Neurospora crassa OR74A: one gene and its partners. The protein of the gene in region 1 purifies or fractionates together with the protein of each later gene. This does not show direct contact. Links are inferred from orthologs where the notes say so. Each region holds a gene or a part of one and is shown on either strand. Other genes may lie near its edges.

What was found.
Region 2: the proteins of NCU09380 (region 1) and NCU04041 purify together in Saccharomyces cerevisiae (affinity purification with mass spectrometry; 4 studies listed by BioGRID, with this or other methods). This does not show direct contact. The link is inferred for Neurospora crassa OR74A from reciprocal best matches to the Saccharomyces cerevisiae genes PUF6 and MAK5.
Region 3: the proteins of NCU09380 (region 1) and NCU05270 purify together in Saccharomyces cerevisiae (affinity purification with mass spectrometry; 3 studies listed by BioGRID, with this or other methods). This does not show direct contact. The link is inferred for Neurospora crassa OR74A from reciprocal best matches to the Saccharomyces cerevisiae genes PUF6 and FUN12.
Region 4: the proteins of NCU09380 (region 1) and NCU06843 purify together in Saccharomyces cerevisiae (affinity purification with mass spectrometry; 3 studies listed by BioGRID, with this or other methods). This does not show direct contact. The link is inferred for Neurospora crassa OR74A from reciprocal best matches to the Saccharomyces cerevisiae genes PUF6 and RPL3.
Region 5: the proteins of NCU09380 (region 1) and NCU08595 purify together in Saccharomyces cerevisiae (affinity purification with mass spectrometry; 3 studies listed by BioGRID). This does not show direct contact. The link is inferred for Neurospora crassa OR74A from reciprocal best matches to the Saccharomyces cerevisiae genes PUF6 and RPF2.
Region 6: the proteins of NCU09380 (region 1) and NCU09349 purify together in Saccharomyces cerevisiae (affinity purification with mass spectrometry; 4 studies listed by BioGRID). This does not show direct contact. The link is inferred for Neurospora crassa OR74A from reciprocal best matches to the Saccharomyces cerevisiae genes PUF6 and HAS1.
Region 7: the proteins of NCU09380 (region 1) and NCU07712 purify together in Saccharomyces cerevisiae (affinity purification with mass spectrometry; 5 studies listed by BioGRID, with this or other methods). This does not show direct contact. The link is inferred for Neurospora crassa OR74A from reciprocal best matches to the Saccharomyces cerevisiae genes PUF6 and DBP10.

The regions. Positions count from the first base shown.
Region 1 is NC_026501.1:3,514,555-3,518,809, reverse strand, and holds NCU09380 (pumilio domain-containing protein), read right to left. Parts: upstream 2,801-4,255; 5' UTR 2,626-2,800; coding exon 2,388-2,625; intron 2,313-2,387; coding exon 511-2,312; 3' UTR 285-510; downstream 1-284. Other genes in the region: NCU09381 (RWD domain-containing protein), read left to right, coding at 3,187-3,253, 3,325-3,941; NCU09382 (TPR domain-containing protein), read right to left, coding at 4,179-4,255. UniProt on the Saccharomyces cerevisiae protein: RNA-binding protein involved in post-transcriptional regulation. Component of the ASH1 mRNP which transports the ASH1 mRNA to the distal tip of the bud, where the ASH1 protein is translated and targeted to the daughter cell nucleus.
Region 2 is NC_026506.1:2,535,253-2,539,205, forward strand, and holds NCU04041 (ATP-dependent RNA helicase mak-5), read left to right. Parts: upstream 1-1,153; 5' UTR 1,154-1,236; coding exon 1,237-1,461; intron 1,462-1,522; coding exon 1,523-3,715; 3' UTR 3,716-3,851; downstream 3,852-3,953. Other genes in the region: NCU04040 (tRNA (uridine-2'-O-)-methyltransferase TRM7), read right to left, coding at 1-444, 514-616. UniProt on the Saccharomyces cerevisiae protein: ATP-binding RNA helicase involved in the biogenesis of 60S ribosomal subunits and is required for the normal formation of 25S and 5.8S rRNAs. Required for the maintenance of dsRNA killer plasmid.
Region 3 is NC_026504.1:5,514,274-5,518,474, forward strand, and holds the start of NCU05270 (mitochondrial translation initiation factor IF-2), read left to right. Parts: upstream 1-1,401; 5' UTR 1,402-1,689; coding exon 1,690-2,202; intron 2,203-2,297; coding exon 2,298-2,813; intron 2,814-2,887; coding exon 2,888-4,201. Other genes in the region: NCU05271 (hypothetical protein), read left to right, coding at 1-537. UniProt on the Saccharomyces cerevisiae protein: Plays a role in translation initiation. Translational GTPase that catalyzes the joining of the 40S and 60S subunits to form the 80S initiation complex with the initiator methionine-tRNA in the P-site base paired to the start codon.
Region 4 is NC_026502.1:1,783,778-1,788,048, reverse strand, and holds NCU06843 (60S ribosomal protein L3), read left to right. Parts: upstream 1-1,483; 5' UTR 1,484-1,612; coding exon 1,613-1,625; intron 1,626-1,854; coding exon 1,855-1,933; intron 1,934-2,059; coding exon 2,060-2,216; intron 2,217-2,274; coding exon 2,275-2,298; intron 2,299-2,368; coding exon 2,369-3,018; intron 3,019-3,076; coding exon 3,077-3,332; 3' UTR 3,333-3,771; downstream 3,772-4,271. Other genes in the region: RCM-1, read left to right, coding at 1-142; NCU06844 (hypothetical protein), read left to right, coding at 4,167-4,169. UniProt on the Saccharomyces cerevisiae protein: Component of the ribosome, a large ribonucleoprotein complex responsible for the synthesis of proteins in the cell.
Region 5 is NC_026501.1:9,517,966-9,521,535, forward strand, and holds NCU08595 (ribosome biogenesis protein), read right to left. Parts: upstream 2,198-3,570; 5' UTR 2,096-2,197; coding exon 2,082-2,095; intron 2,016-2,081; coding exon 1,907-2,015; intron 1,837-1,906; coding exon 1,514-1,836; intron 1,444-1,513; coding exon 864-1,443; 3' UTR 501-863; downstream 1-500. UniProt on the Saccharomyces cerevisiae protein: Required for biogenesis of the 60S ribosomal subunit.
Region 6 is NC_026502.1:4,196,723-4,200,608, reverse strand, and holds NCU09349 (ATP-dependent RNA helicase has-1), read right to left. Parts: upstream 2,726-3,886; 5' UTR 2,583-2,725; coding exon 966-2,582; intron 897-965; coding exon 777-896; 3' UTR 501-776; downstream 1-500. UniProt on the Saccharomyces cerevisiae protein: ATP-dependent RNA helicase involved in 40S ribosomal subunit biogenesis. Required for the processing and cleavage of 35S pre-rRNA at sites A0, A1, and A2, leading to mature 18S rRNA.
Region 7 is NC_026504.1:2,110,014-2,113,994, reverse strand, and holds the start of NCU07712 (ATP-dependent RNA helicase dbp-10), read right to left. Parts: upstream 2,801-3,981; 5' UTR 2,687-2,800; coding exon 2,374-2,686; intron 2,308-2,373; coding exon 1-2,307. Other genes in the region: NCU07713 (DnaJ domain-containing protein), read left to right, coding at 3,121-3,234, 3,318-3,893. UniProt on the Saccharomyces cerevisiae protein: ATP-binding RNA helicase involved in the biogenesis of 60S ribosomal subunits and is required for the normal formation of 25S and 5.8S rRNAs.

The DNA of each region.
Region 1 (4,255 bases):
TATTCGGTTTCCAAGCGGCACTTAGCCATCAAGTGACGGTGAACCCGATATATGTCGGTCTTGGTGCCGCAGTCAAAATGTTTGCACAGCACTTTGCCTCTACACGCCATGTTGATATGGGGAGGTTGTGTCCCTCGAAAATTGTGGTACAAGTGGTTCAATGTGAAGGTCGTATGATAATAAGGCCTTCCAAGGTCCGGAATGGCGAATATAAGAAAGTTGTCTCGCTCCTGTCTGGTTAATTATGATTTACCTCACTCCAAGTAGGCCACGGCCTGTTTCAAGCGTCATATCTGAACCATCAGGGAAGTCTGGAAGCAAGCTTTTCTCTATGCAATCATATATAACATGTCCAGACTTGTAAACAGGGCTATCAGTCAACCGCAAATTACGCGGGGCCCAACAAAATCGCATTGACAAAGTAAACAACATAAAAGGGGTATTTAGTCAACCTGTGGCTACCGTCCACTTTTGTCACTATAGCCATGCGACGCCTACAATTTCCTCAACCTAGGCATCGAGCTTCTCTAAAAGGAGCTTCGAGCCCTGGTTGCCCTTGGGGGCAGAAGCATTCTTGCCCTTCTTAGCCTTTGGCTTCTCCTCCATCTCTTCCTTCTTCGACGCCGGTGCTTCAGTTGCGGCCTTGATAAGGGCCTTCTTGTTGGACTTGAGGGTCTTGAGGAGCTCCTTCTTCGATGAGAAGTCGGAAGCCTCGAGCATAGCTAGCACCGTCCAAGAGCTAGGGCCGGTGGCCCATTGTACAATGTGGTCCTTGATGACGGGATAGAGAAGGTCGGCGAAGTTGAGCGGGGGGTCGACCTTCTGGATGCTGCCTGTGGCCTTGTCAAACCGGCCGCCAGCAATCAGTGTCTTGAACATGCGGCCACCGTGAATGGTTGTCGAGATGTGAGGGGGAAGAGCTTGGTAGGCATCCTTGGGCGCCTCAGCGTTGGGATCGCCACCGGCAGTAGAGGCAATAGCCTCCAACGCGGCCTTCTTATCTCCAGTCGCCGAAAGCAAAACATCAGTAACAAACTGGCAACCGAAAGAGGTGGCCACCAGGTCGGCGGGTGAGCTTGCGATGGCCGCAAGGAGCTGAGGCGACATGGCCGTCACCAACTCCTTACGCCTAACCTCGGCGTCCTTCTTGCTGGTCTTGGTGCGGATCTCGTGAATCTCCTTCAGAATCTCCAGGTCGGTGGCGTGGCTGGCAGGGAACAACGCTTTGGACATTCCCTCAAAGAGATATAATACCGTCGTGCGCGCGTTGAGGTCGTTAGCGAGAAAGATGACGTGCTCGGCATCCTTCTCTTCATTCTTGCCAAGAATCTCGGAGAAGATCGTCTTGGACGTGAGGACAGTGTCATCAAGGAGATCGTAGGCGGCGAGGATGATCGCGTGCGCGTGATTGTCACCACTCATGAGCTGGTAGGTGTCCTTGTAGGCCTTGAGCAGCTGCTTGCGGTCCTTGGCGGTTCCGTGCGCAAGGAGCAAGCACACGAGGCGGGCGCCAGACTTGGTGAATGCCATGTTTTTGAGCAAGTCGCCGGTCTCATCCTCCTTAATAGTCTCAAAGAACTCCTTGAACTCTTCGCTTTCGGGGTTAAGGTTGAGGAAGTACTGCAACAGAGCGTCGTGGAGCATGGTGAAACCAGTCATTTTCTTTTGAATGAGGCCATTGGCCATGTCAAAAAGGTACTTCATCGCCGTTGTCCTCTTGCTGGGCTCGTCAGCCAAAATCTTGGAGAGATCGCCAGTGACCTCGGTACCCTTGGGTTGCCTAAACAGAGCAAACTCGGGACCGTACCACTCGCGAAGGAGGTTGGCCTTTTGCTCCTTGGTCGCAACACCGCGGTAGACATCGTCCAGAATCCAGGAACCCTCAGCATGGTTGATGAGCTTGCGAACTTTGCCGTAAAACTCGGGGACGATGATGTCGCGGATCTCCTTGTCGTTCTGCACCAGAAGCTTGCCGATCAGGAACTTGGCATACCTGCTCTCGGCGAGCTGCGCATAGGTTCCTTGAAGTTCCTTCGCAATCTGCCTACGCTGAACCGGGGTGGCGTACTTGACGGCGGTCTGGACGGCACGGACAGCATCGTGCTTTAGGACAAAGTCCTTGATGCGGCCAGTTATGATGGTGAACAACTCCTCAACGAGCTGTTGGCGCTCCTCCTTAGGCACATGCGACTTGCGACGGAGCTTCTCCCACAGCTTCTTGGTACGGTGCACCTCATCGGCCAGTGGCTTCGCGTTCTTGCGTTCTTGGGCGAGTTGTTTTTGCTTGGCGTGCGCCTCCCTGGAGCTTGTGCCTGCGTTGTGTTAGTCAAATAACAGAGCGAGGTTCGGTCATCATGGGGCAGATATGGTAAAGAGAGACAACGTACCAGACTTGGTCTCGTTGGAGCCATTGCCGGACTCATTGGGCGTGGATGTTGTGGTCTCTCCTGTGTGGAACTCGGCGTCTGAGCTTTCATCGGAGGATTCATTGTCTTCGGCTTCGGCCTTGATGTGTTTCTTGCCAGAAGTGGTCTTTACTGCTTTTGTACGGCCATCCTCGTTATGCTTGCCGAACGCCTTTCTCTTTCCGCCGGCAGCGGCTGCTGAAGACGACTTGGTCGCCATTGATGCTATGCGATGTCTGTGTTGCTCCGGGATATGAAGGATTGATCTAGGTATGGGGGGCTCGTGTTGACGTCGTACTGGGTGGGCGCTGGTTCAAAGGTGATGGTCGAGCAGGAATATGTGAAAGTGCAGGTATTCAGACGGGAATCCGAAACTTTGGAGTGCCCTGTATCTGAAGCCTCTGAATTGGAAATTCTGTAGCACGTTTTCCGCTGAAAATTTCTGGATCCGCATCCTGGCATCTGCCGGGCGGTGAGAAGCTTTCCGGGGTTCTGTGGTGGGGCGACTTGATCGACACTGTCTAGAACTGTCCATTGATATAACAAGGAACCCAGGCAGGACCCCCACCATAGATTGAGCCGCGCTCGCGTTTTGGAGTTTGGCCTGCACCTGACGCTACAGTCACTGCAATGCCGTCTGGTTGCCCCTCCCGTCCTCTTCTCTAGGTTAGTAAACGCCTGAAAGTCAACATTGCCAGCACCCACTTTTGGAAGGAGTCTTTCACGTTTTATGTCGTCCAGCACACTGCAAACTTGAAAGGCGCCCTACCGATTGGACATCATGGGCCGCGAAGAACAAATTGAAGAGAGGGAAGTCCTCGACTCCATCTTCCCAGATGAGATCCAAGGTTCGATTGTTCGCCCACATCGGTTGCCGTTCAGGCATGGGCCTGTCCTAACCCAAGCTCGACTCGTCTAGATATCTCCGATACCGAATACCGGATTACTATCACGCTGGACATTCCTGATGATGATGCCGAAGAAACACCAAGCATGGTACTTACCGTACGGTACCCCGAAGACTATCCCGACAAGCCACCTTTCCTTGAGCTTGCGTCCGCCCCAAATGCGCCGCCCCATCAGTACATAAACATTGCCGACGATCGGTTCCAGCTGCTCGAAGGTATCCAAGAGACAATTGAAGAGAATTTGGGGATGGCCATGATCTTTACTGTTGTGTCGGCGTTGAAGGATGCTGCGGAGCAACTGGCAGTAGAGCGGAGGGACGCTGCCATCAAGGCGCAAGAGGAGGCCGCCCTTGCCGCGGAGCGCGAAGAGAACAAGAAGTTCCAGGGCACTCCCGTCAATCGCGAAACCTTTTTGAAGTGGAGGGAGAGTTTCTTGCAGGAACTGGAAGATCAGAGAATCAAGGAGGAAGAGGAAAAGGCGGCCGAGATGAAGAAGGCAAGGATAAAGGAGCCTGTCAAGCTCACGGGCAAACAACTCTGGGAGAGGGGCTTGGCTGGGAAGGGTGATGAGGACCTGGAAGGCGATGATGACGTCCCCGTGGAAGAGGTCCAGAAACTCACGGTTTAGGACCGTTAGACAAATCGTAAGCCCTCTATCACGTTCGCCAAAATTATCTAATTCTTTGCTGTAGGCTTTAATCCGCTCTAAGTATACCTAACCCATGTGAAAACCAATCCTGAACATTACTTTTTACCCCTCTTAACCGGACTCCAGGGTATGCCATAACAAGTTTGCCTGAAAAAGACGCCTCAGCTTAAGGTGGTATGGTTAGAAGACAAACGAGACGAAGCCAGTTGGGGCCATTTAACTCATCTCCTCATCTTCATCTTCCTCAACGTCTGTATCTTCCCAAACCTCATCTTCCTCAGCGCCAACAACAC
Region 2 (3,953 bases), on another chromosome or scaffold:
GGCCTGTGACGTCGGGCGCACCATCGCTGATGACCAGATCCACTGGGTGTGAGGCTTGCGGGTTCATGGTGCTTGGGTCGAAATCGGGGTCCAACGCCTTAAGCAAAAGCGGAACGGTGGCGGGATGTGTGATGTCGGCTCGGAGAGTGATGATTCCTGGCAGAGGGCTGATGGGCTGCAAGTCGATGGACACAATCTTGACCTGTTCCCTGGGAGCCGGCGTGCTCTCCTGAGTCGCCTGCACCCTCTGAACCTCATCCTGAGCGTCTTGCTTCTCGGGAAAGACGTTGAGCATCTGTTGGCGGAACTTGGCCTCACGGTCTTGCCAAGCACACCGGCCGAACTTCTCTCCCTTGATGAGAACCCTCGATAGAACCTGAGACCAGGAACCGGGGGCAGCGCAGAGATCGACCACACGAGTGACATTTTCAAACAAGTTGAATTCTGATGGGAACGCTCGGTGTTAGCGGTGATACACTTCTTTACATTACATATGCAATAAACAGTTCTTACCTTCGTCTAGTTGAAGAAGCTTGAAGGCACTTCTGGCACGCCATCCTTGCTCCTTTGCAAGGCGATAGTAGGCATCACGCTTGTCTTTTGATGATTTCCCCATTTTGAATGCTTCGCTCTCACTTACTTGTGTCGAATAATGAAGTGCCGCGAGTGGGTGACGAGAGTGAATGACGGGAGCTTGTGAAAGAGACTGGGCCCCACTTTTGCCTGGTGACGGGTCGCTGTCGCTGGGCGCCGATTTGGGTCCGTCTGCTGCAAATAGTCACCGCCAAAAAGGATTCTGCCGGCATAATTATCGAGCACCTTGGCGGCCCCAGCACTCGCACACCATAGACGCGCATACTTGGAGGGAAGGACTTTGGCGATAAACGAAAGCTTTGAATCATAAGATGTCGTCTCATGTTTTGTTTCCTCCATCAAAGTCAGACTGATTGTTTCCACGTCCTATTCTGTCGGCACCCTCTACACTACAAGCTTGTTAGCCAGACCTGGAATAGGTAGGCGGTGTCATTTACAGCACATGGGCTAGCCTGTTCCAGCTAGAGGCTGCTGCAACCCAGCTGCAAGGTGGAGCCAAAATTTCCATTTCACTTTTACAGCCATTTTCACTGAGCAGTGTCAACAACACCCTTCAAATCAAAGTTCATCAGTGCATCCAACAACCTCAAGCACTCAAACCCGACACCCTTTTCCACCCGAAAACGACGACATATTCACACCATGGCCGTCGATAAGAAGCGCAAGAACACAAAAGCCCCCGCCAGCGGGCCAAAGCGCCGCAAGACGCAACCGTCGTCTAAGCAGATCAAGCGACCTGTTTCCGTTGATGCGCTGGCATGGAAGACGGTCGACATTCCTGAAATGTTCGATGATGCGGAGGGTTTCTTTGGTTTGGAGGAAATTACCGGTGTTGACATTGTAAAGGATGGCGATGTTGTCAAGTTCGTAAGTTGGGTCATGGATGATGACAGCGACAGGACATGAATGAACTCACATATGTCTTTAGATGGCTGCGGTCCCCAAGTCGGAGGCAGAGGTAGAAGATGACGGCGAAGAGTTTGGTGGTTTCGACGACGAAGAGACACCGAAACCTGCTGGAAATGCGGACCAGGAAGTCAAGACATCAGAAACCAAGGCCGAAGCTGCGAGTACTCCAGCCAAGGAAAAGAAGGCCTCCAAGGACCAGAGGAAGCCAAAGGAGCAGCAAAAGCAGCAAAAGCAGCAAAAGCAACAGCCAAAGAAGGAGCAGCCAAATAAGGCAGCGAATAAGAAGAACGCCGAGGACAAGAAGAAGGCCCGCAAGAACGAGAAAACTACTGTCGAGCCGAAGGACCCCGAACTAGAAACCGATCTTTTCACCAAACTGGAGGAGCTTCCTGAGCCTGAAGAGGAGGAAATTGATATGTCCGAATGGGTGCCACTCGATTTGTCACCTCGTATGATCTCGTCCATCGCCAAACTCAGGTTCTCCAAGCCCACCGTGATTCAGTCCAAGGCTATTCCCGAGATCATGGCTGGTCACGACGTTATCGGAAAAGCATCCACCGGTTCGGGAAAGACGTTGGCATTCGGAATTCCCGTCATCGAAAGCTGGTTGAGCGCTGCTGAGACGAGGAAGCAGAACAAGGAAGAGAGAAAGGGCGCTACAGCGCTGATTTTGTCACCCACCAGAGAACTTGCCCAGCAGATCAGAGACCATCTTCAAGCGCTTTGCAAAGGTCTTCCTACAGCACCTTACATTTGCTCGGTTCTTGGTGGCATGGCCGTACAGAAGCAAAAACGACAGCTCCAGGTCGCCGATATCGTCATTGCGACCCCGGGCAGAATGTGGGAGGTTATGAGCTCAGATAACTCTGTGCTCGCTTCTCTGAGGAACATCTCCTTCCTCGTGTTGGATGAGGCAGATAGACTTCTTAAGGACGGTCACTTCAAGGAGGCCGAGGAGATTTTCAAGGCTCTTGACAGGCCACCGGTGGAAGAGAACAATGAGGATCAGAAGATGGGCGGTACTGATGAGGAGGGACAGGAAGAGGAAGAAGAGGACAGCGAGGAGGAGGAGGAGGAGGAGGAAGAGCACGTCAACAAGAGGCAGACTCTCATTTTCTCCGCCACGTTCAACAAGAACTTGCAGCAAAAGTTGGCCGGAAAATCCAAGTTCAAGGCGACGAGCACCCAGGACATGGAGTATCTTCTCCAGAAGCTGAACTTCCGCGAAACCCCCAAGTTTGTCGACGCCAATCCCGTCCACCAAATGGCCGAGAACCTCAAGGAGGGTCTCATTATGTGCGGCGACATGGAGAAGGATCTCTACCTCTATGCCACTCTCATGCTCCAGCCCACACGGCGCGCGCTTGTATTCACCAACTCGGTCAACTCTGTCCGTCGCCTAACCCCCCTCCTCGAGAACCTCAATCTTCCAGCCTTCCCTCTCCACTCGGGCATGATCCAGCAAGCCCGTCTGCGCTCTATCGACCGCTTCAAGGCCAACGAAGGCGCAAAGAAAAAGAACGGTTCTGCAGCTATCCTGGTCGCTACCGATGTTGCTGCCCGTGGTCTCGATATCCCCGACGTCGACCTCGTCATCCACTACCACGTCCCGCGCGCCGCCGAGGACTACGTGCACCGCTCCGGCCGTACCGCCCGTGCCTCCAACTCGGGCACGAGCATCCTGCTCTGCGGGCCCAAAGAAGCCGTGCCGACGCAGCGCCTCGTTGCCAAGGTGCACGCCCAGGCCGAGGTCAAGGCCGGCAACTCGGGCAACAACACCAAGAAGCTCGTTTCGAGCGGACTTCGCACCATCGATATCGACCGGCGCATCGTCGCCAAGTTGCGGGAGCGCGTCGACTTGGCCAAGAAGATCGCGGATGCGGTGCAGGCCAAGACCATGGGTGGAAAAGAGGACGATTGGATGAAGAAGGCGGCAGAGGACTTGGGCGTCGACTATGACTCGGAAGAGCTTGAGAAGGCGGGCAAGTGGGGTGGCAAGGGTAGCTCCAAGAAGCAGAAGCAGAAGGAGGCACAGCAGATGAGCAAGGGCGAGTTGGCGTCGCTGAGGGCTGCGTTGAGAGACCTCTTGAGCAAGAGGATCAACACGGGCGTCAGCGAGAGGTACCTCACTGGACTGGATGTTAGTGAGCTGCTGAAGGGCGAGCAGGGGCTGTTTTTGGGCCAGGTGGACGGATTGGGCTTGGATGATTAGACGCAGATTCATGGCTGTGGTATTGCATGTTTCCTTTCACGGTTAACCATTTAATTCTGAGCGGTGATCTACATATAGTATCCGGTCTCTTCACTCTGAGTAAGATGTCTTGTATTTTTTCTCTCGTGTTTTGTTCTATAAGGCACTAAAAGAACAGTTCACGTCTTGGACTGTGCTGCCAAGTGAGACAGGGTCCATGGGTCCATCAAGGTCTCCATCTTCCCCATGGCCTAGATTC
Region 3 (4,201 bases), on another chromosome or scaffold:
GGAACCCATAACTGGGCTGAGTTCAGGGTGCTCTTCGAGGGGACGCTTCCTGTCAGTATCAGGAAGTTCCGGCGCGGCAGGACACGGCCAACGTGGGAGCAAGGAGCCTGGAACGCACCCAAGTACGGCCGGCTCATTAGCACACCGAACGATGCCGAGATGTTGGGAATAGCCATGGACGGCACCATGTATCACTTTACGCTGCTTGATCAGCACGCATTGCGTCTGTTGCGATTCATTGTCAACTTGTATAACCTCAGGGGGAAGAGAGACGAGGAAAGGCTGCTGCACGCGGAGCCGAACCTGGGTCCCACTGAGCCGTCGCATGTGGATGGTGATGTGCTGAAGACACTCTTGGATGCGGAAGTCTTGCAAGAGCTGATCAACACGGAGGAGCTGTTGGCGCGGTTCAAGAGCCTGTTGGATAAGTTGGATGGAGGCAAACATACTGCTGAGTGGATGGGCGAGGGCACTGCGGACCAGTATTTTGAACTGGCGTATAACGTGTTGATGTATTATCTTAGGCAAGTTTACTAAGTGCTTGGAATTCTAAGGCGGGGGGGGGGGGGGGGGGGAAGGGCAAGATACACTGGTAATAAACGGACGTGTGATCCAGTGTCGGCCTACAAGCCGTCCTGATGAATGCCTTGGTGGTGTAGCTACAGCATAATAGAAAAGCGAATAAAGAATATCACTAGCAACATCTGGTTAATGAAATACCCATTATGACAAGGTGAGGGAGTTGGCCTGCCCCCTTGGATGGAATATCGCACAAAATACACCAAAGTGGTAGAAAGTAAATACAGAAATTAGCCCAGCAAGTGCCCCACTTGTGCCTTAACAAGCAGGTGCCCCGCATTCTGCACCAACGAGTCGGTCACTGTACTTGTACGCGGGAGTGCAGGAGCTTCCACTTCTTTTTCACCACTGCACTGTACTGTACTGTATTTGTCTTGACTGCTGTCTCCAACAGTCTGTGCAGTGTCAAGTCAAGGGCTTGGTCAAAGCGACACCTCCTGGCTCCGGCACAAGTAAAAAAAAAAGTTTGGAGTGGCGATCCTTGTCTGGATTTTTCTGCTGAATCGAGACTCCTTTGACTTTGCGACTTCGACTACTTGGGATTGAGTTAGAGAACGGGACATGATTGCCGTTTTTTGACCGTAGACGGAGACAATACCAAACACTTTATACGGGTTGAAAGAAAGCGCATAGGCAGACGGTGTAAGTACAGGTACTGAGATAGGTACGTACCTGACCTCTATATAGTGTAGCAACAAACCAGAGCGGGATTCGATACAAAGAACAACGAAAGAAAAAAAAAAGATCCACGGTGCCAAGTACCTACAGTACCATCGATCCACTCTGCAGCACCACCACCGAAAAGTGATACAAGTGACAAGCCCTATCCCGTCGACAAGGGGGGACCTACAGCACCAAAAAAAGTACGCCGCCTGCCTTCTTTAGCAGCCAGCCATATCGCATATAACGGCCCAGTAGCCCCAGTCGGCCGCCCCACGAACCCACCACCAGAACCACCTAGCGAGCAACGAGGTCTTCACCCGGACTTCGACTTTCGTCACAAGGAGAGAAGGAGAGCCCATCAGGATCCTCTCCCCCGCCCATCCTACCGACGACATCCCCGCCTCAAGGTATTCCCCGGTCGACTACCAACAGTCCAGTTAGCCCAACATGGCGCCCAAGAAGAAGGGAAACAAGAAGGCCAACGATGACTGGGAGGCCGAGCTGGGCGAGTCCATCGCCCCCGTCAACAACAACGGCGCCGATGCTGCTGCCGCCTCTCCCGCTGCCGCCGACGACGAGGCCGCTTCCGGTGGTGGCGGTCTGATGGAGAGAATGCGCAAGGCCAAGGAGAAGCGCAAGAAGAAGGGTCTTGCCGACGACTGGGAGGCTGAGCTGGGCGAAGACGCTCCCGGCGCCGAGAAGCCCGCTGCCGCCGAGCCCGTCCCCGATCTGTCGGCCAAGGTCGCCGAGGAGGCCAACCTCGACGACGAGTTCGCTCTCCCCGAGAAGAAGGGCAAGGGTGGCAAGGGCAAGCAGCAGCAGCAGCAACAGAAGGCTGCTCCCGCCGCCGCCGCCAAGAAGGACGAGGATGCTGCCGATGAGGATGGCCCTAGGGTGTTGACCAAGGCCGAGAAGGAGAAGCTCAAGAAGGAGCGTGAGAAGCAGCGCAAGAAGGAGCAGGTGAGTACCCAGTCATTATCACTATTACCCACTAATGACTATACATACATCAGACACAAACGGAAGACTAACAACAACTTCTTTTCACTAAACAGGCTGCTGCTAAGAAGAAGGGCACCACACCCGCCGCCGCCGCCAAGGCCGAGCCCGCAAAGGAGGAGAAGAAGGCCGAAACCCCCAGCCCCGTCTCGACCCCCGCTTCCACTCCCGCCCCCGAAGCCGCCGCCGGTGGCAAGAAGAAGAAGCTCCCCGCCCACCTGCTCGCCCTCCAGAAGCAGCAGGAGGAGCTGCGCCGTCGCCAAGAGGAGGAGGCTAGGCTCCTCGCCGAGGAGAAGGCCAGGATAGAGGAGGAGGAGCGCGCCGCTGCCGAGGAGGCCAAGCGCAAGGAGGAGGAGCGCGCCCGCAAGAAGGAGAAGGAGAAGCAGAGGATCGAGCAGCTCAAGAAGGAGGGCAAGTTCATGACCAAGGCCCAGAAGGAGGAGAAGGCCCGCAACGAGAGGAAGCTGCAGCAGATGTTGGCGGCCGGTATCAAGGTCAACGCGCTCGAGGGTGAAGAGTCCAAGAAGAAGCCTGTCTACGACGACAAGAAGAAGAGGGCTGCTAACAAGAAGGTGAGTCTGTCCGGGATTCTTGCTACAATTACGGTATACTATGGACGGCGCTAACCAGTGTCTACTTGCTACAGAAGGACGAGGAAAAGGCTCTCGCCGAGGCCGCTGAGCGCGCAAGACTCGCCGCTGAGGCTCTGGTCAAGGAGCAAGAGGAGAAGGCCCGCATCGAGCGCGAGAAGGCCGAGAAGGAGGCTGCTGCCAAGGCTGAGGCCGCCAAGGCCGCCGCTGAGGACAGCGTCGACGAGGACTGGGAGGCCGCTGTTGCCTCTGACAAGGAGGATGTCAAGGACAGCTGGGACGCCGACTCCGACGAGGAGGAGGAGACCAAGAAGGAAGAGACCAAGAAGGAGGCTTCTAAGCCCGCCGCGGCCAACGGCAAGACTCAGGCCAAGAAGGAGGAGTCCGAGTCCGAGTCCGAGTCTGAGGAGGAATCTGAAGAGGAATCTTCTGAAGACGAGGAGGCTACCGCCAGGGAACTGGAGGAGGCCCGGAGGAAGAAGGAGGCTGCCGAGCGCCGCGAGAAGGCTCACCAGGCCGCTCTGGCTGCCAGGTCTGCGGACAACCTCCGCTCGCCTATTTGCTGTATTCTTGGTCACGTCGATACTGGTAAGACGAAGCTGCTCGACAAGATTCGTCAGACCAACGTCCAGGAGGGTGAAGCCGGTGGTATCACTCAGCAGATTGGTGCCACTTACTTCCCCGTTGAGGCCATCAAGCAGAAGACGCACGTCGTCAACAGGGACGGCAAGTTCGAGTTCAAGGTTCCCGGTCTTCTTATCATCGATACCCCCGGTCACGAGTCTTTCTCCAACTTGCGTTCGCGTGGTTCTTCGCTCTGCAACATCGCCATCTTGGTTGTCGATATCATGCACGGTCTCGAACCCCAGACTCTCGAGTCCATGAGACTGCTCCGTGAGAGGAAGACGCCCTTCATCGTCGCTCTCAACAAGATCGATCGTCTTTACGGCTGGAAGAAGATCGAGAACAACGGCTTCCAGGAGTCGTTGGCCCTCCAGAACAAGGCTGTCCAGAACGAGTTCAAGAACCGTCTCGAGCAGACCAAGCTCGCCTTCGCCGAGCAGGGTTTCAACTCGGAGCTCTTCTACCAGAACAAGTCCATGGCCAAATACGTCTCCTTGGTCCCCACCTCTGCCCACACCGGCGAGGGTATCCCCGACATGTTGAAGCTCATTGTCCAGCTTACCCAGGAGCGCATGGTTGGCTCTCTCATGTACCTCTCCGAGGTCCAGGCTACCGTTCTCGAAGTCAAGGCCATCGAGGGTTTCGGTATGACCATCGATGTCATTCTCACCAACGGTATCCTCAGGGAAGGTGACCGCATTATCCTATGTGGTACAGAAGGCGTCATCAAAACCAATATCAGAGCC
Region 4 (4,271 bases), on another chromosome or scaffold:
TAGCGGAGAGGAGGACAAGAAGGGCGGAATTATTCCCGGTCCTTCCTCCGGATCCGGCCCTGCAGCAAACGAGTCCAAGAACGGAGCCTCAACGAGCGGTAGCTTCAACGGCATCATGGGACAAAAGTCAGAAAGCAACTGATTACATCATCTGCCGTGTACCTCGAGCTTCTGCGCGAGAGACAAGACCCAGTGTATCTGCTTATAATACGGCAGAGGTAGGAGAACCCAAGATCCTGTCGATGTCATAATGGTTTTGCTTATGGATGGGAATGTACGTCGACTTGTTCGTTTTATGTGGTTTGAAAGAGTGGTCATCATTTCACACACATGGATGATGGAGACAGAAGGACCTGTGAAGCTCAAGATCTCATGGGTGCGAAATGCACTATTTTACCACGTTTTGACTGACCGGTAGGAGATGAGGAGGGAGAGGAAGGAGCGGATTCCGATGTACATACATTATTATGACTTGTGTTTGGAATAGAAGCGTGTGCATGTCATCTGTTGGAAAGTCGACAGCGAGAAGGGAATGGGAATATCCTCAAGAGGCGGAAATGAACTCGCTGCTTTGCCATAGAGGCCAGTTAGAGAACATGATTACGATTGTCGTTACACTCTTGGGATCGTAATTGCAACGTCGTGATCATTCCCGCACGGGATACGGTGTTATTGAAATGGCTGAACGGCGCCTCAGCCCGAAAAGTCAAGGAGATGACAGCTAAGTGTAGTGCTTTCGTGGTTATCCCTTGTAACCAGTACGCCTTTGACCATGCATGTCCGCCTAATCATGTAATCATGTTAAGCCAACCCACTTGTTTTACATCTACGACTGTTATAATGCCCTTGTCCACGAGCTCGACAAGCTAGAGGTATTGAGTCAAGAAGCAGATGGGGCATTTGACAATGTCGTCATGCTTCTGACAGGCAGCTGACAACCCCAATAGATGGAGATCTCGCTTTGATCCAAACAGCCCAACCTAGGCTATTGAAAGCCACAACAGCTTGCTCTCTTTGACACCGTGGGCGCGGACATCGAATTCGGAGAATCAGCCGTGTGATCAAGATGGAGTCAAGGGGGGGAACAACGAAGATTGGAGCTCAACATATTGTAACCGACCAGACCAAACAGAGCCGTTGCCACGCGCAGGCGCCGAAAAAATCCCATATCTCGTATTCCATCTGCGAACGTACCTACGGCGGCAGCGGCGACGATGACGGACTTATACGCAGAGCAATCAAAGTCACGTTTTCTGCCACCTCAACAGGACTTTACCTTGTCATCAATGTGCCATTAGTGAATGGCCCGCCAAGCTGACTAAGTGTACGGGGTCGCTCTTGTGGGGTGGATTGTTCTGGGCTTGGCTGGTCATCGCTGGTTGGCTGGGCGGGCTCGAGGAACAGGAAGGCGGACATGCCCGCCGGAAAGGGCTCGCGCAAAAGTTAGGGCTCCGCTGCACTTGAGGCCCGTGCACGGTCCAATCCACACCACTCACACAAAAATTTGGCTGGTCCAATTTCTCTGGCGATACTTCTTGATTTTGTTTTCGCGGTAGTGAACTTTTTCCCACTCGACCATCAACAACCCGGGTACTTGGGATCATCAGCAGTCATGTCTCACCGTAGTAAGTAACGCCTCATCGCCGTCGCTGTCGCCGCCAGACATACGGTCTTTGTCGATTTCTACACGCAATCCCGACTTCGAGAGAATCGATGGAGCAGCTTTCCCGAGAGACGGTCGTCGCGATATCGAAATTTTCGACTTTTTGGCGACTGGATTTTGGGGAGCATGCGTGATCACGACTTGGACCTCATGGCAACCTGAACGTCCTTCATGCTGACTCGATGCTTCAGAGTACGAGGCTCCCCGCCACGGTTCGCTGGCCTACCTTCCCCGCAAGCGCGCGGCCCGCCACAGGGGAAAGGTCAAGTCGTAAGTCAAGCTTATCTTCTGGTACCATCGACAACACTATCGCTAGTAGTTTGGATCTTTCGCGATCGGAACTTGGGCAATAGGGCATGCGAACAGAGAGGCTGACCAGTTGCGCGTTCATGACAGGTTCCCTAAGGATGATGCCAAGAAGCCCGTCCACCTTACCGCCGCCATGGGCTACAAGGCCGGCATGACCACCATCGTCCGCGACCTCGACCGCCCCGGCGCCAAGGCTCACAAGAAGGAGGTCGTTGAGGCTGTGACCATCATTGATACCCCTCCTGTACGTACAACGCAGCCCGCTTGGCTCTTTTTGTGTCAATGGCTAACATCTCTCGCAGATGATCGTTGTGGGTCTGGTCGGCGTAAGTCTTTGATCCTGTCCAGCTGCCGTATATGGCCTACCGCGACCGTGTGATCTAACCCCGATATTAGTACATCGAGACTCCCCGCGGTCTCCGCTCCCTCACCACCGTCTGGGCTGAGCACTTGTCCGACGAGGTCAAGCGCCGCTTCTACAAGAACTGGTACAAGTCCAAGAAGAAGGCCTTCACCAAGTACGTCAAGAAGCACTCCGACAACAACGGTGCCGCCATCACCCGCGAGCTCGAGCGCATCAAGAAGTACTGCACTGTCGTCCGTGTTCTTGCCCACACCCAGATCCGCAAGACTCCCCTCAAGCAGAAGAAGGCCCACCTTATGGAGATCCAGATCAACGGTGGCTCCGTCGCCGACAAGGTCGAGTTCGGCCACGGCCTCTTCGAGAAGCCCGTCTCGATCGACTCCATCTTCGAGAAGGACGAGGTTATCGACGTCATTGCCGTTACCAAGGGTCACGGTTTCACCGGTGTCACCGCTCGTTGGGGCACCAAGAAGCTTCCTCGCAAGACCCACAAGGGTCTCCGCAAGGTCGCCTGTATCGGTGCCTGGCATCCTTCCCACGTCCAGTGGACTGTTGCTCGCGCTGGTCAGGCCGGTTACCACCACCGTACCTCGGTCAACCACAAGATCTACCGCATTGGCAAGGGCGATGCTGAGGACTCTGCTGCCACCGAGGTCGATGTCACCAAGAAGAAGATCACCCCGTATGTATCCCCGTCTGTCTTGAAGAAGTTGAAGAGCGCAAAACTAACCCTGTTCCAGCATGGGTGGCTTCGTCCGCTATGGCGAGATCAACAACGACTTCGTCATGGTCAAGGGCTCCGTTCCCGGTGTCAAGAAGAGAGTCATGACTCTCCGCAAGTCCATGTTCGTCCACACCTCCCGCAAGGCCCTCGAGAAGGTCGAGCTCAAGTGGATCGACACCTCCTCGGAGTTCGGTCATGGTGCTTTCCAGACCCCTGCCGAGAAGAAGCAGTTCCAGGGTACCCTCAAGAAGGACCTCGCTGCCAGCTCGTAAATTGGCTGCTGCAGTTGATCTCCTTGTTAGTCGGGTTGCATTGGTGTCACGGTTTTTTCGTTGCTCTTTCGGGTCGGTCGGGAAATGGGACTATACCTAGCATTTACGGCTTAATAAAAAGCTGTTGAAGAACAATGAAACGTTGATCCAGTGTACTGCCAAAGAGAGTGTCCTTCAGCAAAATGTGTTTTATGTGATGTGAACACGTGAAGAATCTGGTGGTTGGCACAGATTCGATGGACACTGTTGTTTATAACTTCGTATGTTTTATTCCAGGACTTTTGTCTTGGGCTGCTATGCCCCCACTAGTGTAGGGTAATGACTTGAAGGGACCAGTGGCATATAGATATACCCAATTTGATAGTCTTGAATGTAGCATGTCGTGTGATTCTCGTTGCCTGTTCTGCTGCGCTGGACGTGTTCGATTTATCAACTGTTCATGAGCTTCCACCTGTCATTCACTACCCGTCTCTATGCTTTCTCTTCCTGATATTGTTCATCTGCGATACCACGACTGATAATGATATCACTTTTCGACCATCTTCTCATATTCCTAGTCGTGCTTTTGGGAGTCCTCACGGCGTACATGGCTGTTGTTACTTGTTGAGGGCATATCAAACCCCGATCGACCTTGCAAGCAGCCCATCTCCTGATTGGTTGACGCTTCCACTCTTAGGCCAACGTGAGATCCGCCATTCCTAATTGGTTTCAGCTACTGCAGGTTACATCATCGGACGTTCGTTCGCATCCCACCACGCAGCCCACCCACCTGACTGATCATTGTCATCGTCGTCCCGCCCAACGAAACGTTCTCAACCTAAACACAACAACATAATGGTTTGAACTTCCCTAACCCTGACCCAGATCTGTTCTAGTTGCTTCTTCCATCCTCAACACAAACTCTTTGTCGACAATCCGCAAAGCTAATTACCCGGCTCT
Region 5 (3,570 bases), about 6.0 Mb from region 1:
ATCTCGAGTCTTAACTCTTTGGTGGGACTGGCTTTAGTCTCTTTATAGACAAGCATAAGGAAGCCATCATTGATTGATACAACTCTGCTCTAACAAACACAATTTCTGGTACAGGCATTTCATTCATAACCTTGTAGTCAGTCAACATATACACTAATCAATCGTTCTCGGCATGGATATTTGGTTTCATAATTTTGTACTAAATCAGTCTGCAGACTGCCTCACCGACACCCCTTATAGACGTTTCCAAACCAAAGATCGAAACAGGGAATAGTTCATAGGTTTTCCTATGGTTGTACATGATTATGGCATTGTCTTTTTTCTATGATTATAGATAGTTGCAAGGTAGCAAGGTAGCAAGGTAGCAAGGTAGCAAGGTATCCAGGTAGAAGAGGGAAATAGCATGAGTGCCATGTGATAGTAGGCAGCGAGTGCTGACAATACTAGATTCTTCCAAACAAAGCTGTAGCGGCAAATTCGGCCGGTCGATCGGTTGATCCTATGGTCCCATATGTTGGTTGGTATAAATATCACGTATATGCTAGATAGATGTCTAGGTCTACAAGCTTTGGCAAGGCAACTTCACGAACAACCCATCATCCATCAATAACTCCAGCTTTGGTCATCTCTTCTTTTCTGTTGATGATCTGATCTGGCATGAATGTTCATCTTCCCCAAGAGCAGCAGCAGCCAATGATATAAGATAAAGTAAAGTAATAAAACTAAAAACTCCCAAAAACGCCTTGTGTCTTGGTGGATGATCGCAACAATTGTGAGAGAAAAAAGATTAAACCTCCTCCCTGCCTGCCTTCTTCTTCATCCCCTCAACCCCTCATTCTCCCGTCTCCCTACTCTTGCTCAACTCAAAACTCAACGACATCCCTCGCCTTCTTCTTCCTCGGCCCCACGATCCTGTCACTGACCTCCTTGACGCCCTCCATCGGCATATCCGCATCATCAAAGTCCTCATCCACCACATCCCTGCTCCTCTTGAGACCCTTCATCTTTCTCGTCTGCAACTCGCTGAGATCCAGCTTGCCCATATGGATCCTACCAATCTTGTCACCGATGCTGTCCATGCTGATGTTCTTCTTGGTGCGCTCCTCGTTGGTCTTGGGCTTGCGCATCGCAGCCTTGAGCATGTCCGCGTCGGGCTGCTGGAGGCGACCGAGGCGGAAGTCCATGCGGGGGCCGTGCTCCTCGACTTCGACTCGGGGGAGCTTCTGGCCGGAACGCTTGGTGCGGATCAGGTAGGCGCGCAGGTGGAGGGTGGGTTTTGTCGAGGGGTCCGAGGGATCGGTGGAGGAGGAAGTGGGCTCGTCGGCGGAAACGACAACGCAGTACTGCAGACCCTCAACGTCGATCTTGTCTGAGGGCTCGCCGCGGAAGAAGTCGATGAGCATGGATTTGGCGGTGGTGAAGGCGTTGGGGACGGGGGATTCGCTGTGGTACTCGGTTAGCTGACGTTCATTCACTACTCCTTCCTCTTTGTCACAAGAATCGGGGGACATACAAAGCAGTACCGGCGAACACCATCAAAGGCTTGGTGCCTACGGGCACCTTCTTGGTCTTGAACTGGGCAATGCTGCGGAAGGTCTCGGGGTCGAGGTAGAACTCGAGCATGTCGAGCATCTTGTAGTCGAAGGTGCGGCAGAAGGTGATGGTGTGGGGCCTCTTCTTGCTGCTGGAGCCGAAGAGGATGAGCGAGGTGTCGTTCTTCTCAGAGAAGAAGGTCAGGGAGCTGGCGTCCTCGAAGGGGTGGACGGGGTTCTTCTTGTGGAAGCGCTTGGCGTGGGTTTGGCGCAGCGAGTAGAGATCTTGCATGGCATCTTGGGTCTGCGGACTGTATTAGATTTTGATGATACCATCATATATAGGAGGAGAGGATATGGAGGAGGTGACATACGACTTGGCTGCAGGTGGTGCCGCGAAGGAAGAGGGCGGTCTTGGGGTTCTCATTGACCTTGGGGGCACGCTTCTCGAGCGCCCTCTTGGAACGGGCTGTCCGCGGCTTGCTGTGCGGAGAAGAGAACTGTCAGCTAATGTTCGGTATGTTCCATTGTCATGATCGATTGACGTACACTTGGCGGAGCATTTTGGCGGTCTGGTTATGCGATGACGGTAGTGGGTGGATTGGATAGGTACCGCAAGGTGGTGATGTGGACTGGGGACTGTCTCCTTCACCTGCAAATCGTCGTCGTGATGGTCGAGCAAAGAAATTCCAGAACGGCGCTTATCGATAAGAGGAGACCTTGAACTCGAAATTTTGTGGGGCAGGTGGGGTCAAGATTGTCCGCTCGTCCACTGGGCGCTGGCTTTCCCCTGCCTGTCGTTCAGGGGTTCACGGGCTGTTAGGTTCCATTCCATTTCACGCCTCAACGTCACTGCAACGGCAACCAAAATCATTTCCATTTCTGCCGTCTCATCACAATTAGGTTGGTGATGGAGTCAACCTTGAGTTCCATATTCTTGTTCTGATCACTCGATAATCACTTGCTCTTTGGGAAACAAGCATTGAGCAATATGATTGCCAAGTCAGCAACATCACAAAACTCTGGCATCACTCTTACAAGGTCAGCACACTTGAGAAGATTCTGAATACACGAAGCCAACATATTGGGATGGTGTTCTTCTACACTTCGGGTTCACAATACAGATTCCTTAAAACCGTTCTACTCTGACATAAAACCAGATTTCTCCAGTCATTGCTCCCGGCGAGCATCAAGAATGCTCTCATCCACCTACTACGGACCTACCTGGCCTGTCGTTCTCTAACACCATGAAGCAGTTCAGTATAGCTTCCCTCCTCTCACAATGATCTATTTCGCCATGTCCCCTCTCTCTCTCGTGGTCGTCTTGACTGGACCATAAATGTAGGATATCCATCCAACCTGATGAGACTCCCCGGTCTCTTTCCCCATCACGTCCAAACAGCCCATACCCATCCCATCCATACTTTGCATGTATCGTACAACCTCCGGAACGCATCCCATTCACGTGGTGGCTTCTTTTACCGTTGTTCCATGGATCCTCGGCACTCCTCCTTTCACCGCCTCCGCCTCCGCCGTCACTAGGTATGTATGCCATCGGGAAGCTACCTACCTACTTTTCAACGGTTTTGAAAAAGGGCGATTGCATTCTCGTCAAGCCCAGCCCATGCCACTGAAACTGAAACTTAAACTGTCCGCAGCTGTATGTATGTATGTACATGTGGAGTGTTCGGAGACTCGGGCATTAGGAATGCATTTTCGAAAAGTTCTATGCAGTTTCCCGCGACTGAGAAGCCTGGGATGCAAGTAAACTGTCGTGACTCGTGAACTCGTTGGAAGCATGTTCCCGTGAGGGTGTGGTGAGAGAAGGAGGTTTGGATGCGGGTTGTTCCGTGCAGGCGCTCGGGCCAGAGACTCGGACTAGAGAGGTAACTAATATCGTGAGGTTGATGGAACGAGTCTTGAAGACGGGGGGTCTCGATGATGGTGGGCTATCATGGTACGATCATCCTGAAAAGGTTTTGGTCGTTCACGGCTATGTTTCTTCAAATGGCGTCAAGAAAAGTAATGGCAAAAGGCA
Region 6 (3,886 bases), on another chromosome or scaffold:
GAAGTGATGGGAAGGGAAAGGAGAGGATATTGGGAAAGGGGAAGGGGAGGATATTGGGGACGAGGTGAAATTTGGTAAAGTTGTTAGGTTGGTTTGTGTCGGGGAGTTTCCGTCTGTTATGTAGTTCAGGTTCGGGGGGTCGATTGGGGCTGCAGATAGAATAGGTATCGATGTAGGTCGTTCTGAAATAGTAGACTGTCATCAGTGGGTTGTTTCATGCTTTGTTGTTGGAGGTTAGTGTTGAGTTGGTACCGGTTGTCAGCTACCTAATTTGGGTATTGATTATGAATCCCTACAAAGGATCCTTGATAGAGAGTGACACTCAGGACCTCCATGCTTTCCATCAGCCATATCAACATCACGATCTTTCCAATTGCGTAGCAAAATAGATATGATGTGGTTTGTTCAAGGTCTTTCTTACCATTTATCAAATGAAACTGTCAGCATGATAATATGTTCCATCCTCACATGGAAAGACACCCGAGATGACCGAACGGCACAGCATCAGAAATACCACACCAACGGAGCAGCAACGTAAAGTAAAAATTAATTGTTGATTTGAAGCCCTCCAGTTTTACTTTTCAACCAAAAACGCCTTGGCAGCTTGCGCAAACAACAACAAGTAAACAGCAAAGTAGCAACACAAAAGAAAACACCCACTATGCTCCACACCGAATGCCCGATGGATATCTAAGAGAGAACATTGACAAATCATCATCCCCTTTTCGTATTCTAACCAACAACAACAACAACACGAACACCGAATCCCGCCTCGCTTAGTGACGGTTCTGCTTCGGCTGGCTACCATACGCTCTCCTGCTCGTCTGCTTCTTGTCACGCGACATGCTGGAGGCCAGGGTGATGTCTACCCTGGGAGGGGTGGAGAAGCCGAAGGACTGTTTTTGTAGTACGTTAGTGACTGTTCTGGTGTTGGGGAAGAAAAAGGGAGAGAAGAGAAAACATACCTTGGCCACCTTAACCAAGTCAAGCTTATGGATATCAAACACCGACCGCAAACTGTGCGAAGCATAGGCGTGGAGATACGACCTGTAACCGTCCTTGGCGCTCTGGTTAAGGTAGTAGTTCTGGCCGATCAGCTTCTCCAGCTGGGACTGAACGTTGAGGATCTTGCTCTTGGGGAAGTCGTATTCCACAACGGGGACCTTGGCGGCCTTGAGATGGGCGAGGAAACCCAACTCGTTGGGCTGGAGGAAGAGCAGCGAACGGCCCTTGGTGTTGTTACCACGGGCGGTACGACCGACGCGGTGAATGTAGTCGCGCGGGTCATCAGGAGGATCGAACTGGACGATCCAATCAACGGCGGGGATGTCGAGACCACGGGCGGCAACGTCCGTGCAGATGAGGGTGCCCTGCTTGGCGTTGCAGAATTCGAAAAAGGTGTTTGTGCGCTTCTGCTGCTTCTGCTTGCCGTGGAGATCGAGAACCTGAAGATCGATGTACTGGAGAAGTTCGGAGTAGTACTTGACCGAGTTGCAGGACGAGAAGAAGACAATGACCTTCTTCTTCTGCATCTTCTTGAGGAAAGAGAAGAGGAGCAGGAAGCGCTTGTCGGCGTCGACGACAACGTAGCCTTGGTCCAGACCCTCGACCGTGCTGAACTGCTTCTCCTCATCGACGTTGACGTAAAGAGGACCGGGACGGAGCGAGATACGGGCGAGATCCTCAACCTTGGTGGTTTGTGTGGCGGAGAAGAGCATGGTCTGACGGTCCTCCTTGGGCAGGATCTTGATGATCTGGCGCATTTCGTCCTCGAAACCAATCTCGAGAATACGGTCGGCCTCGTCGATGATGAGCGATCGCATGTTCTTGAACACAAAGGGAGTGTTTTGCAGGTGATCGAGCAGACGACCGGGAGTAGCAATGAGCAGGTTGACGCCCTTGCCCAGCTTCTCGGCCTCAGCACGACGGTTGGCACCGCCGATGACGACACCGTATGTTTGGGAGTGGTTCTTCATGAGCTCGCGGGCGACGCCGAAGATCTGGAGAGCCAATTCGCGGGTAGGAGTGACGACAATGGCACCGGTACCGTTTCTCGGCTTGAAGCGCAGGGAGCTGAGCATCTCGATAGCGGGAATGAGGAAGGCGAGGGTCTTGCCGGAACCGGTCTTGGCCGCACCGAGGACGTCCTTGCCGGCGAGCAGAGGCGGGATACCTCTCCTCTGGATCTCGGTCATCTTGGTGAAGCCCATTTCGGCAATGGCCTTCATGGTCTTGTCGGACAGGTTGAGCTCGGAGAAGTCGGTGGCATTGGTCGCGATGGACGGGGCGATGAGGGAGTCGTTGGTCTTTGTGAGTTCGTCGCCGGCCTCAGCGTCCTTGTCGTCGCTGTCCTCCTTGTCCCCGTTGCCGGTGGGGATGACCTCGTCGCCATCTTGTTGTTCCTCCGCCTTTTGGGCATCGTTCTCCTCCTCGGGGGTGGCGTCCTCGACGACCTCTTCGGCGGCCTTCTTCTCCTTCTTGTCCTTCTTCACCTTCTTGGTCTTCTTGTCGGTGGCGGCGCCATCTTCGGTCGCAATCTTGGCGTCCTTGAGCTTGCGCTTCTTGCTAAATTCGGAAGCCATCGTGATGGCGTGGGGGGGTTGGTACTGTCGGTGGGTGGTTGCGATACTCTGGGAAAAGGGCGTCGCAATGGTTCCGTTCAAATTCCCAGCGAGTCGAATCTGTTATCCTTCCTCTGCCTTCTCTTTCGCTGGGGATTTTTTTCTTATCGCTTGTTCGATAACCAGGGATTACACCAGGCGGTGAAAATTTTGCCAATTCTGCCCTCTTCTCCTGATGAAAACCTGGTCTGTGCGCTACAGCCGTCCCAGTGTTGACCCCACTTTTGACTGCAGATCAGCCGAACCCCGGAACCCGCCAATTGTGCCCCCAATTGCTTGCGAGAGTCGAGAACTGAACTTGTCCATTTCCTCTTATCTTCAAATCCGCATTATGTTGTTTTCTTCTCTGATATTCGTTTATTATCACAACGCTTTCACCTCTCCTGCAATTACTCCAGTCTGTCATAGACATGATATACTCAACGTAACCGCGTGTAGTCGGTCTTTCATGTTCGTTGTCCCTCTCACGGAATTAGGCTCTGGATGTCGTCCATGGTGGCATTGCTTTACACTGCGGATATTCAAACGCTGTACAGTACCTCTGAGATCCTGGCATTGCAGTATTCTTCTTATGTTACATTTCTATTCCAAAGGTTTAGTGGATTGAGACAGACCAGTCAATAGCCTGGTGGACTTTGCAGTTCCCGTCCAGCGGACGACTTCGAAGGCCTTGACACAAGTCCATAGTCAGGCTACGGGTTGCCTTGATCGATAATCGATAATTCGGGGCAGCTGGAAACTTACCCCGTCTGCGGGATACAGGGCGCAAGATTGGAACGTACCAGTCAGCTTCGAATCCAGGTCCCTGGGTTGGAAGTGTCACTCGCCGAGAGGCCCCTGGGTCGATACATAACAGTACACATGGCAGATCAATATCCTCGCATCATTACATTGGCTGAAGTGAAGTTTCATGAACCCCTTCGGAATCCTTCATATTCTCTCAAGGCTGACGGGATGCTATCTTGGTCACGTCGGAAGTAACAACACCTTTATTACATGAAAACATGATCATTTTCCATGGAGTTGACCGAGTCACAAGTGTGGTTCGGTCTTTGGCTCACTGCTGCCTTGGGTCGCATCTTTCCACGATCTGAGGCTGAGAATGGTTCCAATGGGAGGTATCAGCACGGAAGTTGATGTTCATGATATAATCTGGTCCCATGGCCCTATTCTTCAACACCACTCGCTCAACACCACGGACAGACATCACGGAAACAATCCAGAAGGCATCCCATAAAATAAAATCGGACAAGAACTTCTGGTTC
Region 7 (3,981 bases), on another chromosome or scaffold:
TGAACTTGTCCGCATCCTTGGGCGCCTTCTCCATCTTGTGCTTGTACCGCGGTTGGCCAGGTTGGGCTCCGAAGTTGCGGATGAGCTGCGACTTCTCCGTCTCGCCAATCGTGGGCAACTTGCCGAGACGGTTATCCTTGCGCCACCGGTCGAAGCGGCCGCTCTTGAACGAGGCGGCAATCTTGACACCGGACTCGCCACGAATCATCTTGGCGCCCTTGGAGCCGTCCTCATCGTTGGCGACCGCCACGTACTTGCTGTGACGCTTGTCCCAACGCATCTTGGATTTCGTGGGCAGACCGAAGTTCTTGGCACTCTCGTCGTTGGTCAGGTCCATGGTAGCGTCGCGAGCGGCCTCGACGAAGCTGTTGCCGCTGTAGCCGCCCGAGTGAACACCGTAAGCCTTCTCCTCCGCAAGGCTAGTGGTGCGAGGCGTGTAGGACATGAAGATCTCGGGGTCTTGGAAGTTGACCGGGCCACCCTTCTTCTTCGTATGCATGCTGCTGGATACTGTAACCTCCATCTCCGAATCCGAGTCGTCGGCGTATGGGTCTTCCTTGGCTTCCGCCTCTTCTGCCTCTTCCGCCTCTCCCTCCTCTTCCTCATCCTCAAAGTCTTCGAACGCATTGGTCTCCTCGCCGTCAGGTTTACCCTCGGCATCTTCCATGTCCACGTCCTCATCATCCTCGTCGTTGGTAGTCTTGCGCTCCTTGAATCTGGAACGCATGTTTCGTACAACTTCCGCGGCCTTATTGCGGCTAGACTTGCCCTTAGGGCCAAGTTCAAAGATGGTTTCCTGGGGCTTGAAGCGGTTTATCCTGCTGAGAAGATCATCGCGAGCTGCCTGGGCTTCAGCGGCTTCTTCTCCAAACAAAGGATGGAGCTGTGTCCAGCCCCTGGACTGCGTAACTTCGCGGGCTCTCTTTGCGCTCTGGCTCGACGCAGAATTCCTCGTCTTCATGTAGAGCTTCTCGGCCTTTGCGGCAACACCCTTCAGCGCCTTGAGATCGGCACTCTCCTTGAGCGCCTTCTCAACCCACTCAATGTTAACATCCACTCCATCTCTCTTTAGTGTTCCAACTACGACGTCTGCCGCGAAGGAAGGGTTCTTCTGATCGTGGCCGATAATAAGTTTCCTTCCCAGGAAGAGCTGTAGATCAAGTAGATATGGTACGTCTGACTGACGGACCAAACCATAGGCCCAACCACGCTGACCCGCACGAGCTGTACGACCAACACGATGGACAAAGATCTTGGGCTGAGATGGGAAATCGTAGTTGATGACGTTGGCGAGAGCAGGCATATCAATACCACGGGCGGCGACATCGGTAACCACGAGAATATGTGTTCTTCCCCGACGGAAGTTGTCAACTTGGATCAAACGGGCCGTCTGGTCAAGCGAACCGTAAACGTAGGACACGGCAAAGCCTGCGAGTTTCAACAGGTTCGCAATGTACTCGACGTGATGTTTCGTTGCTGTGAAGATGATGGTCGAGTATTCCGTCGGCTTCTCCTTAGGATTGGGCCTGTACTCGCGTTTCCTTTTCCTCGCCTGCAATTCGTCACTCTCTTCCTTTGTGCCCTCGGGCGGACCCAGCGGGACCTTGATGACGTCGTGGAGAAGATGGAGAAGGGCACCCTCCTTCTCACCTCCCTTTACTGCGAAGAAAGCACTCTCGAGGTCGGGTGACACCTTGGTTTCGGCATCCAACCTGACAAGGCTTGGCTCTTGAAGACCGGCTCTGGCGAATTCGACCAAGGACGATGGGAGCGTCGCAGAGAAAAGAAGCGTCTGTCTGGAAGGAGGGAGGGCGTGAAGAATTTCGGTCAACTCAGTAGCGAAACCCATTTCGAAGAGGCGATCAGCTTCATCGAAGACAACGTATTTGATGGAGGCCAAAGAGAGGTTCATTTCAACCTTGAGATGGAGGAAACGACCGGGTGTGGCGATGATAATATCGGGATTCGACGCCATCATACCAAACTGTTCTTCTAGGCTGTCACCACCGACGAGCAATACGGTCTTTAGATCGGTACCTCTGCCGAGTTCCTTGACGACCTTGAGGGTCTGCAACGCAAGTTCACGCGAGGGAGACATGATGAGCGCCCTCGAGCCAACACGTGGACTGTGCCCCTTCAACCTCTCAATCATGGGGATAACGAAAGCTGCAGTCTTTCCGGAACCGGTTCTGGCCATGCCGACCACATCTTTTCTTTCTAAAATCAGGGGGATCGCTTTGCGCTGAATGGGGGTCGGGACGGAGAAGCCTTTTCTGGTAATCGCTCGGAGGAGATGGGCGTTTAGACCTAGGAGAGTATCAGCAGCTGCCCCAAGCATCATCAACTTATGCCATGGGACGGAAGACTACGCACCCATTGCCTGGAAACCTCCACCCTTCTTGACTGATTTGCCCTGAATGTTGGAGGACTTTCTCTGCGAGCTCCGTGTGAGCGAAGCGATAAAGGCTTCGTCATCATCGCCCTCGCCATTAAAGCTAGGTAGTCCATCATCGCCGTTACCGAGAAGATCGTTGAAATCGAGGTCAAGCCCGCTGTTCGTAACAGCTCCCTTCTTGGTGTGGTGCTTGCTGCTGTTGTCTTCGAAGTCGCTGTCGTTGTTGAACAAAGCACCCGCGATGTCAACCTCGTTCTCGGACGGTGTGGGGGACGCTGCGCGTCTAGGCATGGTGAGCGAGGGTTGTGTTGCTGCCAATTGCAGCACGAATCGCTAATTGAAGATGCAAAGACGGACGGGGTGGGTTGGAGTTTAGGTTGGTGATGATGATGGGGTCTTGGGGTCTCTTGTCTACTGTAGCCATCAATGCCTGCCCGTCACCCGTAAATTTTGGATGGTCGACTTTTTAGTGGGGCCAATGTGACATTTATCCATTATCAGCTTATCAAGTACACCCATTGCATGCCCGTGGGTTTGCCTTGGCAGCGCTGGCGTGCGTTAGCTGTGCTTTCCGCGCTCCTGGAGGTGTCGCAAGTCGCAACTACTGAACTTCCCTAAACTTCCCCGGAGTTGCGTTCCGTTTGGTAGACCGAACTTACTTATCCATCAACCCTTTGTAATTGATCAAACAAGCATCCAGATTGACCCTCCATTCCGGCGACAATATGGCGACAGACACTAAGGACGTGAAGGACGTTAAAGACGTCAAAGACGAAACTCCTGCCGACACTCGGGATGCGCTTGAAGTGCTGGAATCTGAAGCCAAGGAGTGGGAGAAGGCAAGCCAGACAACAACCACGCCCAACTATACCAACATTTACATCCCCAACTCAGTAGTTGCTGACAATCTAAATTCCGACAGGATGCCGAGATCGACCGTATCTTGAAAGCCTTCCGGCTCGACGCCTACTCAGTCCTCGGCCTCAAGCCCGGCGTGACCGAATCCGACATCAAGATTGCTTACCGCAAAAAGTCCCTGCTGATCCATCCCGACAAGACCAAAAACCCCTTGGCGCCTGAGGCGTTCGATAGACTGAAGAAGGCGCAAACGGAGCTAATGGAGGAGAAGCACCGCAAGAACCTAGACGAAGCTATCGCGGACGCGCGCATGCTGCTGATCCGCGAGAACAAATGGACGGTCGACAGCCCTGAGCTCAAGACGGCCGAGTTTGAAAAGAAGTGGCAGGAAAAGACCAAGTTTGTGCTGATCGAGAACGAGCAGCGACGACGCAGACAGCTCAAGGCGCAGATGCAGGAGGAAGGCCGCGAGCAGCGGAAAGCTGACGAGGAGGCTGAGCAGCGCAAGCGCAAGAGGCAGCACGAAGAGGACTGGGAAAAGACGAGAGACCAGCGCATCGATAGTTGGCGCGCGTTTCAAAAGGGCAAGTCTGGGGATTCGGATAAGAAAAAGAAAAAGAAGTTGAAGCCTATTGGCTGAGCAAGAAGAACCTGCAATGCTCTTTCATATGAGCATGCGCAGCAATATTCAACTACGGCAATTGCAAGATGTGTTCATCAACGATGCA